Linked DNA regions of Pelodiscus sinensis. The protein of the gene in region 2 interacts with the protein of the main gene of each other region in a pairwise test. Links are inferred from orthologs where the notes say so. Each region holds a gene or a part of one and is shown on either strand. Other genes may lie near its edges.

What was found. The genes of interacting proteins can lie anywhere in the genome.
Region 1: the proteins of TMPO (region 2) and LMNB2 interact in a two-hybrid assay, tested with the Homo sapiens proteins (2 studies listed by BioGRID, with this or other methods). The link is inferred for Pelodiscus sinensis from reciprocal best matches to the Homo sapiens genes TMPO and LMNB2.

The regions. Positions count from the first base shown.
Region 1 is NC_134729.1:26,162,631-26,170,638, reverse strand, and holds the start of LMNB2 (lamin-B2), read left to right. Parts: upstream 1-5,001; 5' UTR 5,002-5,076; coding exon 5,077-5,274; intron 5,275-8,008. UniProt on the Homo sapiens protein: Lamins are intermediate filament proteins that assemble into a filamentous meshwork, and which constitute the major components of the nuclear lamina, a fibrous layer on the nucleoplasmic side of the inner nuclear membrane.
Region 2 is NC_134711.1:83,218,953-83,225,991, forward strand, and holds the start of TMPO (thymopoietin), read left to right. Parts: upstream 1-4,033; 5' UTR 4,034-4,426; coding exon 4,427-4,666; intron 4,667-7,039. UniProt on the Homo sapiens protein: May help direct the assembly of the nuclear lamina and thereby help maintain the structural organization of the nuclear envelope. Possible receptor for attachment of lamin filaments to the inner nuclear membrane.

The sequences.
Region 1 (8,008 bases), on a different chromosome or scaffold from region 2:
CTTCCAAATACCCCTCCCCCCAGGTCTCCCGGGGAGGGGGGAGAAGTTTTTTTTTGTCCGGTCTTTTTTTTTAAACCATCTGGCAACCCTACTCGGAAGAATAACGGCCGCCCCCGCTGCCTCTGAGCGGCAGCGCCCCCACTCGCAAGCCTGGAGTCTGTGCATCAGAAAGGACAGCTTTGATGAACAGGAACCCAGCGTTAACGCTGGAGAGCGCCCCCACAAGGATCCGAAAGTGTGCAAGTGAGGAGTAACCACGTGCCCCACTGTGTCTTGGACAGCGGCCCTCGCCTTCGTTTCCCGCGGGCAGGGGCTGCTCCAGTCCGGCCGGCCCCCTGTGCCACAGGTGGGGGGTGTGTTAAGTATTTAACCGGTTAAAGGATTAAATGCGATTTTCCTCCCCTATTCCACCTTGACTATCTGAAATCAGAGACGTACCAGGGAAGGTGTTTATAGGGGTTCCACATCCAGGGATGTCCCAAGGGGGGCGCAGGGCCTAGGGCAACCCTCCTACCGCCTAAGCCTGTCTCTGCTCCACCCCTTTGCTCCCTCCCCTGAGCAACGCGAGCTGGGGGATTACCTGTGGGCCTGGTGCAGGGGTGCCCCCCTCTACACTTGCCCAAGGGGGGAGCTGGAGTGGCCCGGCAGCCTTCCCCCGCCGCCTGGAGTGTTTCACATGACTTTGCATGCTGTCTTTTTTTATTGTGGTTGTGTCTCTTGTTTTCTTGATTGTGGGTTTTATTTTCAGACTTGTTTGTAAATATCGCTTTTCACATCAGCTGATTTGTTAGCTACCTGGAAGGCCATCAAAAGTGACATTAACAAATGTACAAATATCTCTGAGGAGGAGCCGTGTTAATCTGTAACTTTAGAAACAAGGAGCAGTCCTGTGGCACCTTAGAGACAAAGTCATATATAGATAGATAGTATCATGAGCTTTGTGGGCACGATCCACTTCCTCAGATGAGCAGCAGGGAGATGAGCAGGAAATGGGTTTTGCCCTCGAAAGCTCATGATACTATATATATATATATATATATATATATATATATATATATATTATTGAATCATACAATACTAGATCTGGAAGGGACCTCAAGAAGTCATCGAGTCCAGTCCCCTGCCCTCATGGCAGGACCGGGCACCAGCTAGATCAGGGCTACTCAACTTTGAAAGCCCCAGGGGGCCACAATGATACTCGCAGCACGTGCTGAGGGCCGCAACTTAAGTGTGGTTGCATATATATACAAATATATTCAAATAGCTTTTTTCACACTAATGGCATGAATACAAAGATTAAGGCAAGATTACACAACATGCTGGCCCCATTTAAGTCAGTTCTGCTGATACTGATGAAATGCAATATTTACCCAATTTCCACCCATATGACAGCACTTTTAATGAGCAATGACAGTCCAGGAATGTAACTACTAAAACACGCATCAACAGAAGACCATTGTATTGACTACTTTTTTGATTTGGCTCCTACCTGCAGGCCACATGTTAAGTCCCATGTAAACCCAAACCTCACTTCAGGCTGCAAACAGACAGGCTGCGGGCCGCATGTCGAGTAGCTCTGATCTAAACTATCCCTGATAGATGTCTATCTAACTTGCTCTTAAATATCTCCAGTGATGGAGATTCTACAAGCTCCCTAGACAATTTATTCCACCCTGTACAGCTAGGAAGTTTTTCCTGATGTCCAACCTAACCCCCCCCCCCCCCATTGCTGCAATTTAAGCCCATTGTTTCTTGTCATATCCTCAGAGGCCAAGGAGAACAGTTTTTCCCCCTCCTCCCTGACACACCCTTTTAGATACCTGAAAACTGCTATCATGTCCCTTCTCTGTCTTCTCTTTTCTAAACTCAACAAGCCCAATTCTTTCAGCCTTCCCTCATCGCTCATGTTTTCTAGACCTTTAATCATTTTTGTTTCTCTTCTCTGGACCTTCTACAGTTTCTCCACATCTTTCTTGAAATGTGGTGTTCAGAACTGGACACAATACTCCAACAGAGGCCTAATCAGTGTAGAATAGAGCAGAAGAATGAGTTCTCGTGTCTTGCTCACTGCACTCCTGTTAATGCAGCCCAGAATCATGGTTGGTTTTTTGTTTTTTTTTGCAACAGTGACACATTGTTGATTCATATTTAGCTTGTGGTCCACTATGACCCCTAGATCCGTTTCTGCTGTACTCCTCCCTAGGCAGTTGCTTCTCATTCTGCATGTGTGAAACTAATTGTTCCTTCCTAAGTAGAGCACTTTGCATTTGTTCTTATTAAACTTCATCCTATTTACCTCAGACCATTTCTCCAGTTTGTCCAGATCATTTTGAATTATGACTCTGTCCTCCAAAGCAGTTGCAACCCCTCCCAGCTTCATATCATCTGCAAACTTAGTAAGCATACTGTCTATATCAATATCTAAATACAGGCCATCCTCACTATAAGTCTAAGATACGTTCCAAAAAGCTTGGACTTATAGCGAAACAACTTAAAGCAGGGAGTTTTTTCCCCGTGGCTGACTTCCATTTAAGCAAATTGGGGGGAGTGTTTCACATGGCTTATAGCGGGGAATGGGAGGGCTTATAACACATCAGTTCCTACAAACATCAACAACTTTAGTGTGGAATGGATGATGTATACTGGGGCGACTTATAGTGGGGACGCCCTGTAATTGATGAAGATATTGAACAGAACCGGTCCCAGAACAGACCCCTTCAGAACCCCACTTGTTATGTGCTTCCAGCATGATTGTGAACCATTATGCACACACCTTACAGTAGCCCCATCTAAGTGATATTTCCCTGGTTTATTGATAAGATCATGCGAGACCATATCAAATGCTTTACTAAAGTCTAAGGTATACCACGTCCACCGCTTCCTCCTTATCCACAAGGCTTGTTATCCTATCAAAGAAAGCTATCAGATTGGTTTGATATGATTTGTTCTTTACAAATCCCTGCTGACTGTTACCTATCACCTTATTATCTTCCAGAAGTTTTCGGATGAATTCCTTAATTACTTGGTCCATTATCTTCCCTGGCACAGAAGTTAAATTGTGTGTTAGTCTCTAAGGTGCCACAGGACTATTTGTTGTTTTTAAATTTACAAATATCACTTTTCACAGCAGACTTGCTCAGTCCTTGCAAAGTGGGGGACAAATTAAGCCTTGGATGGGGAGGTGGGTAGTGAGGCAGTGGGGGCTGGCTGGATGGGTAAAGGGCTGGGGGCAGCAGTGGGGCAATGAAGGGGCTGATGAGCCTGAAGCCTTATGGCTGAGGGATGGAGCCCACGGTTGCATGAGTCTGAAGTCCCAAGTCTGTAGCCAGAGCCTTCCGCCACACGGCCAGAGTCTGATGCCTGCCACCACAGAGCAGAAGCCAGAGCTCCACTGTCCTTGGGAAAGTGGGGAACTCACTGGCTGCCTGCCCCTTCAGGGCTTGTGGCTCCAGGGGAGGGCAGAGTCCAACTGCTTCTTGCAGACACTGGGAAAGACCCGCTTCTCTGTTCCCATCCCCCACTCACCAACCAGGAAGCTTTGGCCACAAGAAAAGCTCTTGGTTGCTGCATGTGGCCACGGTGGCTGCTTTTGAGAAACATCTGAGACCCGAGTGCAACTCCCTGCTTCGCCGCAGACTTCCTGTGTGACATTGGGTGAGTCATGTAGCATCACTGTGTTTCAGAGCACTGCACTTCTCCACCTGGGTGTTGTGAGGATAACCATGTTTGAGACTATGAGCTGCACAGATACACAGTGAGGGGGACAGCTACGTACAGCTAAGGGTCAGTAGATATTACATTGGGCAAAAACTACCCTAAAAGAATAGTGATAGAAATGTAGCCGTGTTAGTCTGGTGTATATGAAACAAAAAACAGGACGATGTACCACTTTAAAGACTAACAAGATGGTTTATTAGGCAATGAGCTTTTGTGGGCCAGACCCACTTCCTCAGATCAAATAGTGGAAGAAAATTGGCACAGCCGTATATACCAAAGGATACAATTAAAAAAAATGAACACATATGAAAAGGACAAATCAAATTTCAGAACAGAAAGGGGATGGGGGGGGGGGGGGAAATGTCTGTGAGCTAATGATATTAGAGGTGATAATTGGGTAAGGTATCTTTGTAATGGGTAAGGTAATTAATGTATTTGTTAAGACCTAGGTGTAAAGTGTCAATTTAAGCATGAATGATAGTTCAGAAGATTCTCTTTCAAGTCTGGTGTTAAAATGTCTTTGAAGCAGGATGCAGGTAATCAAGTCATTGATTAAAAGAATGTTAGACTTGCACTGTCAGGCACGAATTTTTAAATGCACAAACTGAAAAACACAGAAATTTCACCATCTCATTCCATCAGTCACATTGATTCCCAGAAAGGATGCTACCGAGGTTGGAAATGTTAGATTTACAGCACAGATCTCAATCCCTTGAGCTCACTGAGGTTAGGTCTACCCAGCAGGCAGGAGCTGAAATAAGCCACGCAACTTCAGCTACATCAACTGCGCAGTTGAGTCCAAATAGCTTAATTGGGATTTTGGTGCAGTCTACACAGCAGGCTGTCAAAGTAGGAACCCTCTTCCCTCGACTTCTTTTTCTCCTTGTAAAATGAGGGGTAGAAGGAGGAAGTCCTCCAGTTCGATGTTGTTTCGATATAACGGCTGTGCAGACGGGCCCTGAGGAACTAGCAGCTGCAGTAGGTTGTTGTCCTCTTTGTGGACAGGAATGTAGGTCGGGGGGGGGGGCAGCCAGGCTGGCCTAGCTGGGGGGCATTGAGTGGGGGGGAGCTGGGCAGGTGCTGAGCCAGGAGGCTGAGCGGTGGCCTGGGCCTGGGGCAGCCCAGGGCGCCATGAAATCGGGGGCAGGCTGGGGCCTGGGGATACAAAATGGAGGCGAGCGCGGACTACAGCCCCCAGCATGCCCTGCGGCGGGGCTGCCCGCCATCTTCGGCTCCGCCTGCGCGGCGACTCCATTTCCCAGCGGGCGCCGCGCGCGCGCCCAGGAGGCGGCGCCCCCGCCATCTTGCCGCGCCCTCCCTGCCGCGCGCGGTGCGGCCGGATTGAATGAGCCCGCCGCCATGTCGGGCACCCCGAGCCGCGCCGCCGGCGGGACCCCGCTCTCGCCCGCCCGCCTCTCGCGCCTGCAGGAGAAGGAGGAGCTGCGGCAGCTCAACGACCGCCTGGCGCACTACATCGACCGCGTGCGCGCGCTGGAGCTCGAGAACGACCGGCTGCTGCTCAAGATCTCCGAGAAGGAGGAGGTCACCACCCGCGAGGTAGCGCCGCGCCAGGGGGGCGGGGCGGTCCGGGGGGTCCCCCCAGTGAGTGGGTAGAGGGGGGGCGGTCCAGGGGGTCCCCCCAGTGGGTGCCGGTGGGTAGAGGGGCGGGGCGGTCCAGGGGGTCCCCCCAGTGGGTGCCGGGGGGGCAGAGAGGGGCGGGGCGGTCCAGGGGGTCCCCCCAGTGGGTGCCGAGGGGTAGAGAGGGGCGGGGCGGTCCATGGGGGGGTCCCCCCAGTGGGTGCCGAGGGGTAGAGAGGGGCGGGGCGGTCCATGGGGGGTCCCCCCAGTGGGTGCCGAGGGGTAGAGAGGGGCGGGGTGGTGCATGGGGGTCCCCCCAGTAGGGGAGGGGAGGGCTGGGGCAAGGCTGCTTGTTGGGGAACCTTGCAAAGCGGCCACTGGGCCGGTAGCACTTGCCCGAGCAGAGATGGGGCCGTGCGGGCAAAACCCCCATCCGAGTCCCCGAGCTCTGGATGCTCAGAACGAAAATAAATGGGGGGGGGGGGGGAGAAGGGGCAAAGGGGGGGATGGACCAGAAGAGCCAGTGGGTATGAAAATACCAAGGGGAAAGCCGAGCTGGAATGTAACGGGGAAAACAAACAGTCTCCAAGCACCTATGGACCGGACAGTCGAAAGGCCAGCTCGGGGCTCCTGTGCCGTGTGTCCACTGAGCTCATCAGCGAGCTAGAAGGAAGGACCTTCGGGGTCTTTCGAACACTTGATGGCAAATTACAGCTGTCAGGATTTGGGCTCTCGTTGTTCATGGACATGTGAGTGATCTCCCTAGGGAAGATGTTTGTTTGCAGAAGCGTCCCTAGAGCTGCTTGTCCGAGGTGCTGGGGTATGGTGATAATAGGTGTAAATACAAGAACCTAGCTAGATGGGTGAAGAATTGCAAAGTAATTTTGAGTGTGTACCTAGGTATTAGTGTGGTATAATCATTAATACTTCGAGGAAAAGTGTGTATGTTTTAATACCCAGGTCAGATGCACGTCTGAAGTGGCTGGGTTTGTTCATCTTTACCATAGTTACTTCTGAATTCTGTCACTTGTTCTTACATAAGGTGATCTTGGCAGTTAATGCTTGTCAGCTAATGCTTGTCAGTTGCTCCCATTTTTGTGGATTTAGGTAATCCCACTAAGAAATCAATCTCATAGATATAGACCAGTGCTCACTATCCAGTAGATCAGTATCTACTGGTACTACTTGGAACCTTTGACAGGTGATCCTGACAAGTTTGTCTGGGAGGCTATCAGAAGTGCTGGCACTTCAGCTGCCCCTCTCAGCACTGCTGTGCTGCTCCTGCCCTCTACCTTGGAGATATCCCCCACCTCCTGCTTGTTGTGCAGGGCACGGGAAGAGGAAGGTTTTTTTTTCTGATGTCAGGGTGCTCCTCTCTGTACCCCATCTCCACAAAGCAGAGAAGGGCAGGGATGTAGAGAGTTTGTTGGCTGCTTTTGGGAGTGGTGCAGGACCAAGGCTGGGGTGAGCCTGTCTTAGCCTCCTGCACAACCACCCAGAAGCCACCTGTGGTAAGTGGTGCCCAGCTGGAGCCTGCATTCCAAGCCCTGGCCTCAGTCCGGAATCCCTCCTGCACCCCAAACCGCTTCCCCCAGCCTGAAAAAAGTGAGTAAAGATGGAGGAGGGAGTGAGCAGGGGCAGGGCCTTGGAGAAAGGGTGGGAAGGAGGGTGGGGCAAGGGTGTTTGGGTTTGAGAGAGATCCTGGATTGCACTTAAATTCAAAAAGTGATCTCATGCTTAAAAAGGTTGGAGCCACTGATATAGACATACTGTTTTGCTGTAATTAACTTCCAAGGTGGCCTTCATTGTACATCATTGTGTTTTCATGTTGCATTCGGAATGACAGGAAAATACTGTTTGCCTGTCAAGGAGTACTTAACTTTTTTTTTTTTTTTTTTTTTTTGCAAAGGAGCAAATCACATTTAGGGTAAATGAATACACGTGAATGGCTTTTGAAAGGAGCTGAGTATTGGACTTTATAGTTAGTCACATATTTACTTTGCTGTACAATGTAGTTTGGATATGCAATAGTTTGGAAGGATGCATTTTAGTATATTTGGGTGGCATGCAGGTTAAATGACACTTGAACGAGGATAGATATTTTACCTGCTATTGTACATGCATAGAACCCACATTGTAACAGTACTAAGAAATAAAAATGTTTAAACTTTTGTGAGAGGCTGTCAACACAGGTATTGATGCCAAGAATGACTAAAGGACTTGGTCTCTTAAAACTCCTTTTTTTTCCTTCTTTATTTTAATGCTTGGTATTGACTTGTGGAAAAATGAGATTGTTCCTGGATTAATGTAGTAAGTTATGTATGAGGAGAATTTTGTTTGAATAGCAAGTCTACTGAAGAACTAAACTAAGTTCAAGAACTCTATTGTTTTGTTTACTGTTGTGCAAAAAGGTTAGTTTCATAGTACTAGTAATCGTGTAACACGTATTTTGAACCAGTTATAGGTGTTTATAAATATTAAACTTCTGTAGTGTACCTTTTCCTGCTTAGAATAATGCATTCGAAATACATTCATCGTATTTAATAGGAAGTCCTGAAGGGAAACATTTTTCAGTGCTTGGATGTATTTTAAGGCTTTTCACCTCTTGAAGACTGGTGAATAGTCATTGTTCGAGTAGTAAAGAGGCAGTTTTTTTTCTTTTACAGTCTTGCAGTAATTCCATATGCAGTATTTTGACACCTGCTGATGCTCC
Region 2 (7,039 bases):
TTTATATGAGGAAGTTTTACAGGCATGCATTAGAATGTGATTTAAAGTTCTATAGTTACTTGTATAATTCCCCATGTGAACATTCTTACTGTGGTAGATGAGTGCTTTTTTCTAGCTTAGCCTATATTGCCTTGGAAGCAGTTTAAGCTAACCAAAAAAGCCACTCATCCCAGAATAAAGGGCACCACAACAGCCTATAAGTTTTTCCTTTGAGACAGGTATTCCATCTCTCCAATTGACAATACCTATGTCAAGAAAGGGATTTTTCTATTAGTCTTGATGTGTCTACATGGGAGACTAAGTTGACTGAATGATGTATAAAGGCCAATCTAAATGTTAAGTGTAAACCAGAGATGACTCCCCAGTATAACTACAGTGGTTTAACCATACAGTCTACACTAAAAAAGCTGATAAAAATAACAAGATTACTCAGGGGTGTAAAAAGTCTGTGTTTTTGTTGACATAGGTACCCTCACTGGGTGTTTCTGTACATATGGGGGAGGGAATTCTTTTGGTGTAGGCTGCATCTATGCTGCAGGTAATGCCAATGTAGCTACATTAATATAGCTATGCTGGTATAACTTAGCCTCGAGAGCCTATGGTTGGGGTAATCTTTAAATTGTAAACTGAGTGTAAACCAATGCTATGATGTCTATGCCTACACTAAACCTGCAGCTGACTATAGAGATATGAACATCAATGCACATCAAAGTGTTGCACTGTAACTCCCCGTGTGAAAGCCAGTGGGCAATAATGTAGTTATGCTCATCCTCATGGAGTAGATACAGTGTAGCACTTCGGTGCTCACTGCTGTCTACAGCCCTGAGGCCACTTTCCCCTGGCCCCAGCCCTGGAGCCCCTGATACTGTGGCTGATATGATTAGGTGAAGCAAAATGCAGGACAATGTAGCACTTTAAAGACTAACAAAATGGTTTATTAGATGATGAGCTTTCGTGGGCCGGACCCACTTCCTCAGATCAAATAGTGGAAGAAAATAGTCACAACCATATATACCAAAGGATACAATTAAAAAATGAACACATATGAAAAGGACAAATCACATTTCAGAACAGGAGGGGGATACAGGGGGGGAAGGAAGGTAAGTGTCTGTGAATTGATGATATTAGAGGTGGGGAGAGTGGGATGTCTGTGAACTAATGGTATTAGAGGTGATAATTGGGGAAGCTATCTTGGTAATGGGTAAGATAGTTTGAGCATTTGTTCATTTCTTCCCGGAGAGTGTTGAATTTTAACATGAATGACAGTTCAGAGGATTCCCTTTCAAGTGCAGATGTAAAAGGTCTTTGTAGCAGAATGCAGGTGGTTAAGTCATTGAGAGAGTGTCCTTTCTGGTTGAAATGGCAAGAAACTGTTATTTCTTTGTGATCTTGTCTGATATCTGTTTTGTGGGCATTAATCCTTTGGCGAAGTGTCTGAGATGTTTGTCCAATGTACATAGCAGACTGACACTTTCGGCACATGATAGCATAAATTATATTTCTGGATGCGCAGGAATATGTGTTCTTGATTCTTGGTAAGAATCATCTTGAGGTTAGGTGGTTGTCTATAGGAGACTATGGGTCTGTCTCCCAGAGCCTCTTGGAGTATGGTATCCTGTTCCAGTATAGGCTGTAGTTTATTGATAATGTGTTGGACAGGTTTAAGTTGGGGGTTGTAGATGATGACAAGATTAATCTGATATGATTAGGGTCTGTCATGGTGTCACTTGAGTAGATATGCAGACAGAGCTGGCAACAGGGTTTGTTGCAGAGTTTGGTTCCGGATTCATTTCTAAATATATAGTAAAATATCTGTACCGTAAAAAAGATAAAAGAAAGAACATTTTTCAATTCACTTTATAAAGTACTGTAGTCCAATCTCTTTATCGTGAAAGTGCAATTTATAACTGTAATTTTTTAAACTGCGCTCAAAAATAAAACAACATAAAACTTGAGAGCATTTAAATGAGAAGCATTAGCATTATCTCCTCTAAACTTAAACAGATGTTTGACTTAGCAATTGGCTGAACAAGAAGTAGAACTGAAGGGACTTGTAAGCTCTAAGTTTTACATTGTTTTGGTTTTGATTGAAACCAATTATTTTAAAAGTAAAAATTCTACCTTTATAGGTGTACTTTGATGACGAAAAGATTGCACTACAGTACTTAGAGGAAAATTGAAAGGTATTATTTATCTTTTTAACGTGCAAAAATTTGCAATAAAAATAATATAAAGTGAACAATGTACACTCTGTATTTTGTGTTGTTAATGAAATCAAAATATTAGAAAATGTAGAAAAGCATCCAAATATTTATAATAAATTTAAACTGGTATTCCATTAATGTTTAACAGTATGATTAAAACTGTGATTAATCACAACTGTTTAATATCTTGCTATGGTGATTTTAAATCCTTTGATAGCCCTAATATTTAGATTCAAATAAAAATAGTTGTCTTTGTTTTTTTAAGAAATGCATAAAATATTCTATTAATACAAATTGGTTATTTATTTCCAGGCTATTTGACTTCATTATTAGTGCCAGAGCCATATATAGGACCTTTTACAAATGTGAGAAAGCAAGTTCATTGCCCCAAGGACCTTGCACAATCAATGGTTTCAGTCATAAGAACATAAGAATGACTATACTGGGTCAGACCAAAGGTCCACATATCCCAGAATCCTGTCTTCCAACAGTGACCAATGCCAGATACCCCAGGAGTGAACAGAACAGGGAATCATCAAATGACCCCTCCACTTGACATCCATTTCCAGCCTCTGACAAACACCATTTCTACCCATCTAGGCTAATAGCCACTGATGGACCTAACTTCCACGAATTTATCAGTTCTTTTTTGAACCCTTCTATCGTCCTGGTCTTCACAATATCCTCTGGCAAGGAGTTCCACAGGTTGTCAGTGTGTTGCATGAAGAAAAACTTCCTTTTGTTTGTTTTAAACCTGCTACTGATTAATCTCATTTGGTGACCCCTAGTTCCTGTTTTGGGAAGAAGTAAATAATGTTTCCTTATTCACTTCTTCCATATCATTTATATTATAGACCTCTATCATATCCCCCCTTTAATCTCCTCTTTTCTAAAATGAAAAGCCCCAGTCTTTTAAATCTTTCTTCATATGGGACTCATTCCAAACCATTTCTGAACCTTTTCCACTATCAATTTTTTTTTAAATGAGGCGACCGCTTCTGTACACAGTATTCAAGATATGGGCTTGCCATAGTTTTATACAGAGGCAATAAGCTATTCTGTTTTATTCTCTATCACTTTTTATTGATTCCTAAGATTTTGTTTGCTTTTTTGACTGCTTCTGCACATTGAGTGGATATGTTCAGAGAACTAGCCACAATGACTCCAAGGTCTCCCTCTGGAGTAGTTATAACTAAATTAGTCCCCATCATTTTGTATGTATAGCTCGGACTATTTTTCTAATGCACATTATTTTACATTTATCAACATTAAATTTCGTTTGCCACTGTGTTGCCCAAACACTTAGTTTAGTTCTGCAATCTGTTCCTCATAGGCACGTTCCTTCACTCCTGAAGAAGCTGTGGCATCGGCACTCAAGGGCAATGCAACGTCCCTTTAAAAACTGCAATACAGTAAAGCGATTTATTTCATTTTTATGTAGCACTCGCAGCTTTTAATAGCAAAAGCAACTTCTTGGCTGGAGTCCATTTCCTCCGCCCGGTCAGTGCCCAGGTCAAGGCTGGGGAAGGCCAGGTCCGCGTGCGAGGAGGAGGCACATCCCCAAGCCTCCCACTGAACGTGCCTGTTGTGACAACCATGGGACACGCGGTGCTCCGATCACGCCTCTGGGGCTGGCCGCCGCTGGAACCGTCCCCACGCCACCAATGGAGCCTTCGCGCCGGGCTCCAGGAAGCTCTGACACGTCTCCCTGAAACAGCGGGCAGCAAACCCCGCGGTGCCCCTGCCAGAGCGCGGCTGGAGGGGAGTCGGGCACTTCCTCCCCAGGCAGCGGTGTCGCCCCGGCCCTTCTCCAGCAGCAAAGGCCTCGACCTCCTCTGGGCGGGGAGGGCTCATGTGGCGCCAATGAGGAGACGTCAGAGGCGGGAGGGGGAGCTTGTGCCGTGCTCGCCGGCGGGGGGCGGGAGGCAGCAGCACGCCAGCCCCTCTCCCGCCTGAGCTGAATTTAAACTGCGTTACTACTCCTCGCGCAAAGCACTAATGTTGGTGAAACCCTCGCGCCGCTCCCCCACTCGCCCCCGCAGCCAATAGCAGCACCACTTCGTGAGTCGCCCGGCCAATCCGGACGCGCTTTACTGGAGGTCGGGCGAAGCCCTCGCCGAGCGCGCCGCGAGTGGGGTTCATCGCGCTGGGCAGGGGAGGCGATTTCCCATCCCCTCCCCCCTTTGTTGGTGTCTGTCCCGGGAGAGCGGCAGAGGCCGGCGATGCCCGAGTTCCTGGCGGACCCGTCGGTGCTGACCAAGGAGAAGCTGAAGAGCGAGCTGATCGCCAACAATGTGAGCCTGCCGGGCGGCGAGCAGCGCAAGGACGTGTACGTGCAGCTCTACCTGCAGCACCTCACCGCCCGCAACGCGCCCGCCGCGCCCGACTTCTCCAGCGACGAGGAGAGGGAGCCCACCCCGCTCGGTCCCAGGGGCAGAGGAGGAGGCGGCACCCCCGGCCGGGTAAGAGTCCGCCCCCCCCTGCCGCTCGGAGAGCTTAGCGCTGCCACACAAAGGGCTCTGGCGGCCCCTGCCTGCCGCCCGCGCTCCCGCCCCTTTACCCTTCCCGCGCATGTAGACCCGCCCCTGGGGAGCGGGCTGCTGGCGGCGTGCGCCGCTTCCCGCTCTCCGAGGTGCGGGGCGCGCCCTGGCGGCCGCGGCCTGTCTGCGGAGCTTGAACTAGGGTTAGGGGAGAGCGCGGTGCCTTCCTCGCAGCCCAGAGTTTTCGGCGCCTGCGGCCCCCGCGAGCCAAGAGCGGCTCTCAGTGGCCGGTATGAGCTTCTCGGTACAGACCTCTTCCCCGAGGGTCTCCAGCGTGCGGGGTGCGCTGCGGCGGCAGCCGGGGCTGTTCCCTGCCTGTGCTCAAGGAGAGGGGCAGTTTGCCGGAGGGATTTCCTTTCTTTACTTCAAGCTAGGGCGTACTTTGTCGTGTGAGGCTCAGGAGCTCGCTGAATGCCGACCGCTAGCGCTAGGATATCTGCGGGTGTAATGTTCGGCTTTGCTGGAAGACAGGTCTTGTTCCTGCTTCTGTACACTTTAGTAATGAAGTTGCTGGGCGGGAAGTTCTTTAGTGGATGCTTATTTATAGTATGCAAAATAAAATAATATGGTAACTGCAACGATTGTGTTTGTAGCATGTTAGGTTCTTACGTTGTAACTCGGATTGGAGAGAGGTGTTGCTGTTTGTGTGTAAAATATTTTATAAAGAAAGACCAAGTTTTAGACCAGCTTTCCCATGTCTGAAAGTCCAGAAACTTAAACTTCATTAAAGGAAGAGATCCCAGGCTTCTATCCACAGGATTGTCTTTGTGATCTAAACTTACTTACTCTCCCCTATAGAGTTGCCCACTTGCCTACAGTTACATGTGTTCCTGCTTCCAAGAAGCATAAATGCAGTATCTGACATGATTTAATGTGAGTTAACAAATAATCAGACAGTTGGCAGAAGACAAGGGAAATATCAAGAAGATAATTAAGCTCCAGTGTATGCCATCACTAAGGTTATGGTTTTTTCAGTAAGCTAGATGTGAAACTATTCTACTTGTTCAAGTTAGCCCCAAACAAGGTTTGTTTAGTCCAGTGAGCATCCATGTGTCTCTCTTGAGACTGGATAAGTCTATTGTATGTTTTAGAACAGTGATACTAGCACTTGCATATTTTATATAAAGTGACTAAGCCATATCTTGTGGCATTGATACTTAAGTGCTTAGTAACTGGTAAAGCATGCTAATCTTTCCTTGTGATGGAGTGAAGAGCTATTTAAGCAATAGCTGTGGGTGCTCTGCTAATCAGATGAAGTGCATTTGAATCTCCTGAATGCCTGCACAGCTTATAAGGAACACTGAAATAGTATCCTGCTGTTGCGGGTTCATCATGGTGATGACTGAAATACTACTTGTTTAGATATAAATCATTGTAATTTGAAATCCAAAATAAATTGTTGTAATTTAATAATATTGCTTAAAAATTAGCATCTTGGGTCCATTCAGCTTTACTAAAATTTGCAGAATATAGTCCCAATATCTGTTCAATAACTTGAGCTCTGTGTATCTGTGAGGGGCAGACTACATAGAAGCCTTCTCTGCTGTACTCCCATGTTCAAACTTCCCTACAAGTTTTCAGTTTTAGTTAACATAGTGAGTTCCTGGATCTGTACAAATGCTACTGATTCAGGAGTTGCTCTCAAGGGTTTAGATTTGTGTACGATGAGTCAGGTGTACCTAAAGGTGAAAGGCAACAAACTTAAATGTAGAAAAAAAGAGAACTGTTAAGTAATAGTGGCTGGTTTGAGCTACAGTTACTTTTTTTAATGTGCAAAGGAATTAAAATATCAAATTGTGAATATAGCTAATTTTTCAGTGATCTCATATACATGCCTTCCTCCACAACCCTTTTCCCTCATACTGTTGCTGCTTGTTTCAAATTAATCTTGGTGTTCATGGTAAGGACTTTTTTATTTCTGACAGGTATAGAAGCACCACCTACCTGTTAAGGTTCAGCATTACCCATTATACTACCCTTTTGTCATTTGCTTATAACTCTGCTGCACTTTTTCATGCTGGCTGGCTGCCTCAGGCTAAGAGGAGGTGGTCTTCTGTGTTCTCAGTGAGCCTCCCCTAATTTCTAGGCTCAGGTGGTTTGGTAGGAAAATTTGTGTGATTCTAATAAAACGAGGACCAGACACAGGCCTACTCAAGAGCTGGGAGTGGGAATAGGTTGCCTGAGACAACCTGGAAGATTTGAGAAAAGATTGGGACTGGGAAACCATTGGGATGGAGGTTAGAGTTCCGCAAAGAGCCAGGGTATTGGGTGGGAGAGACTGAGGAAAGAGACTGG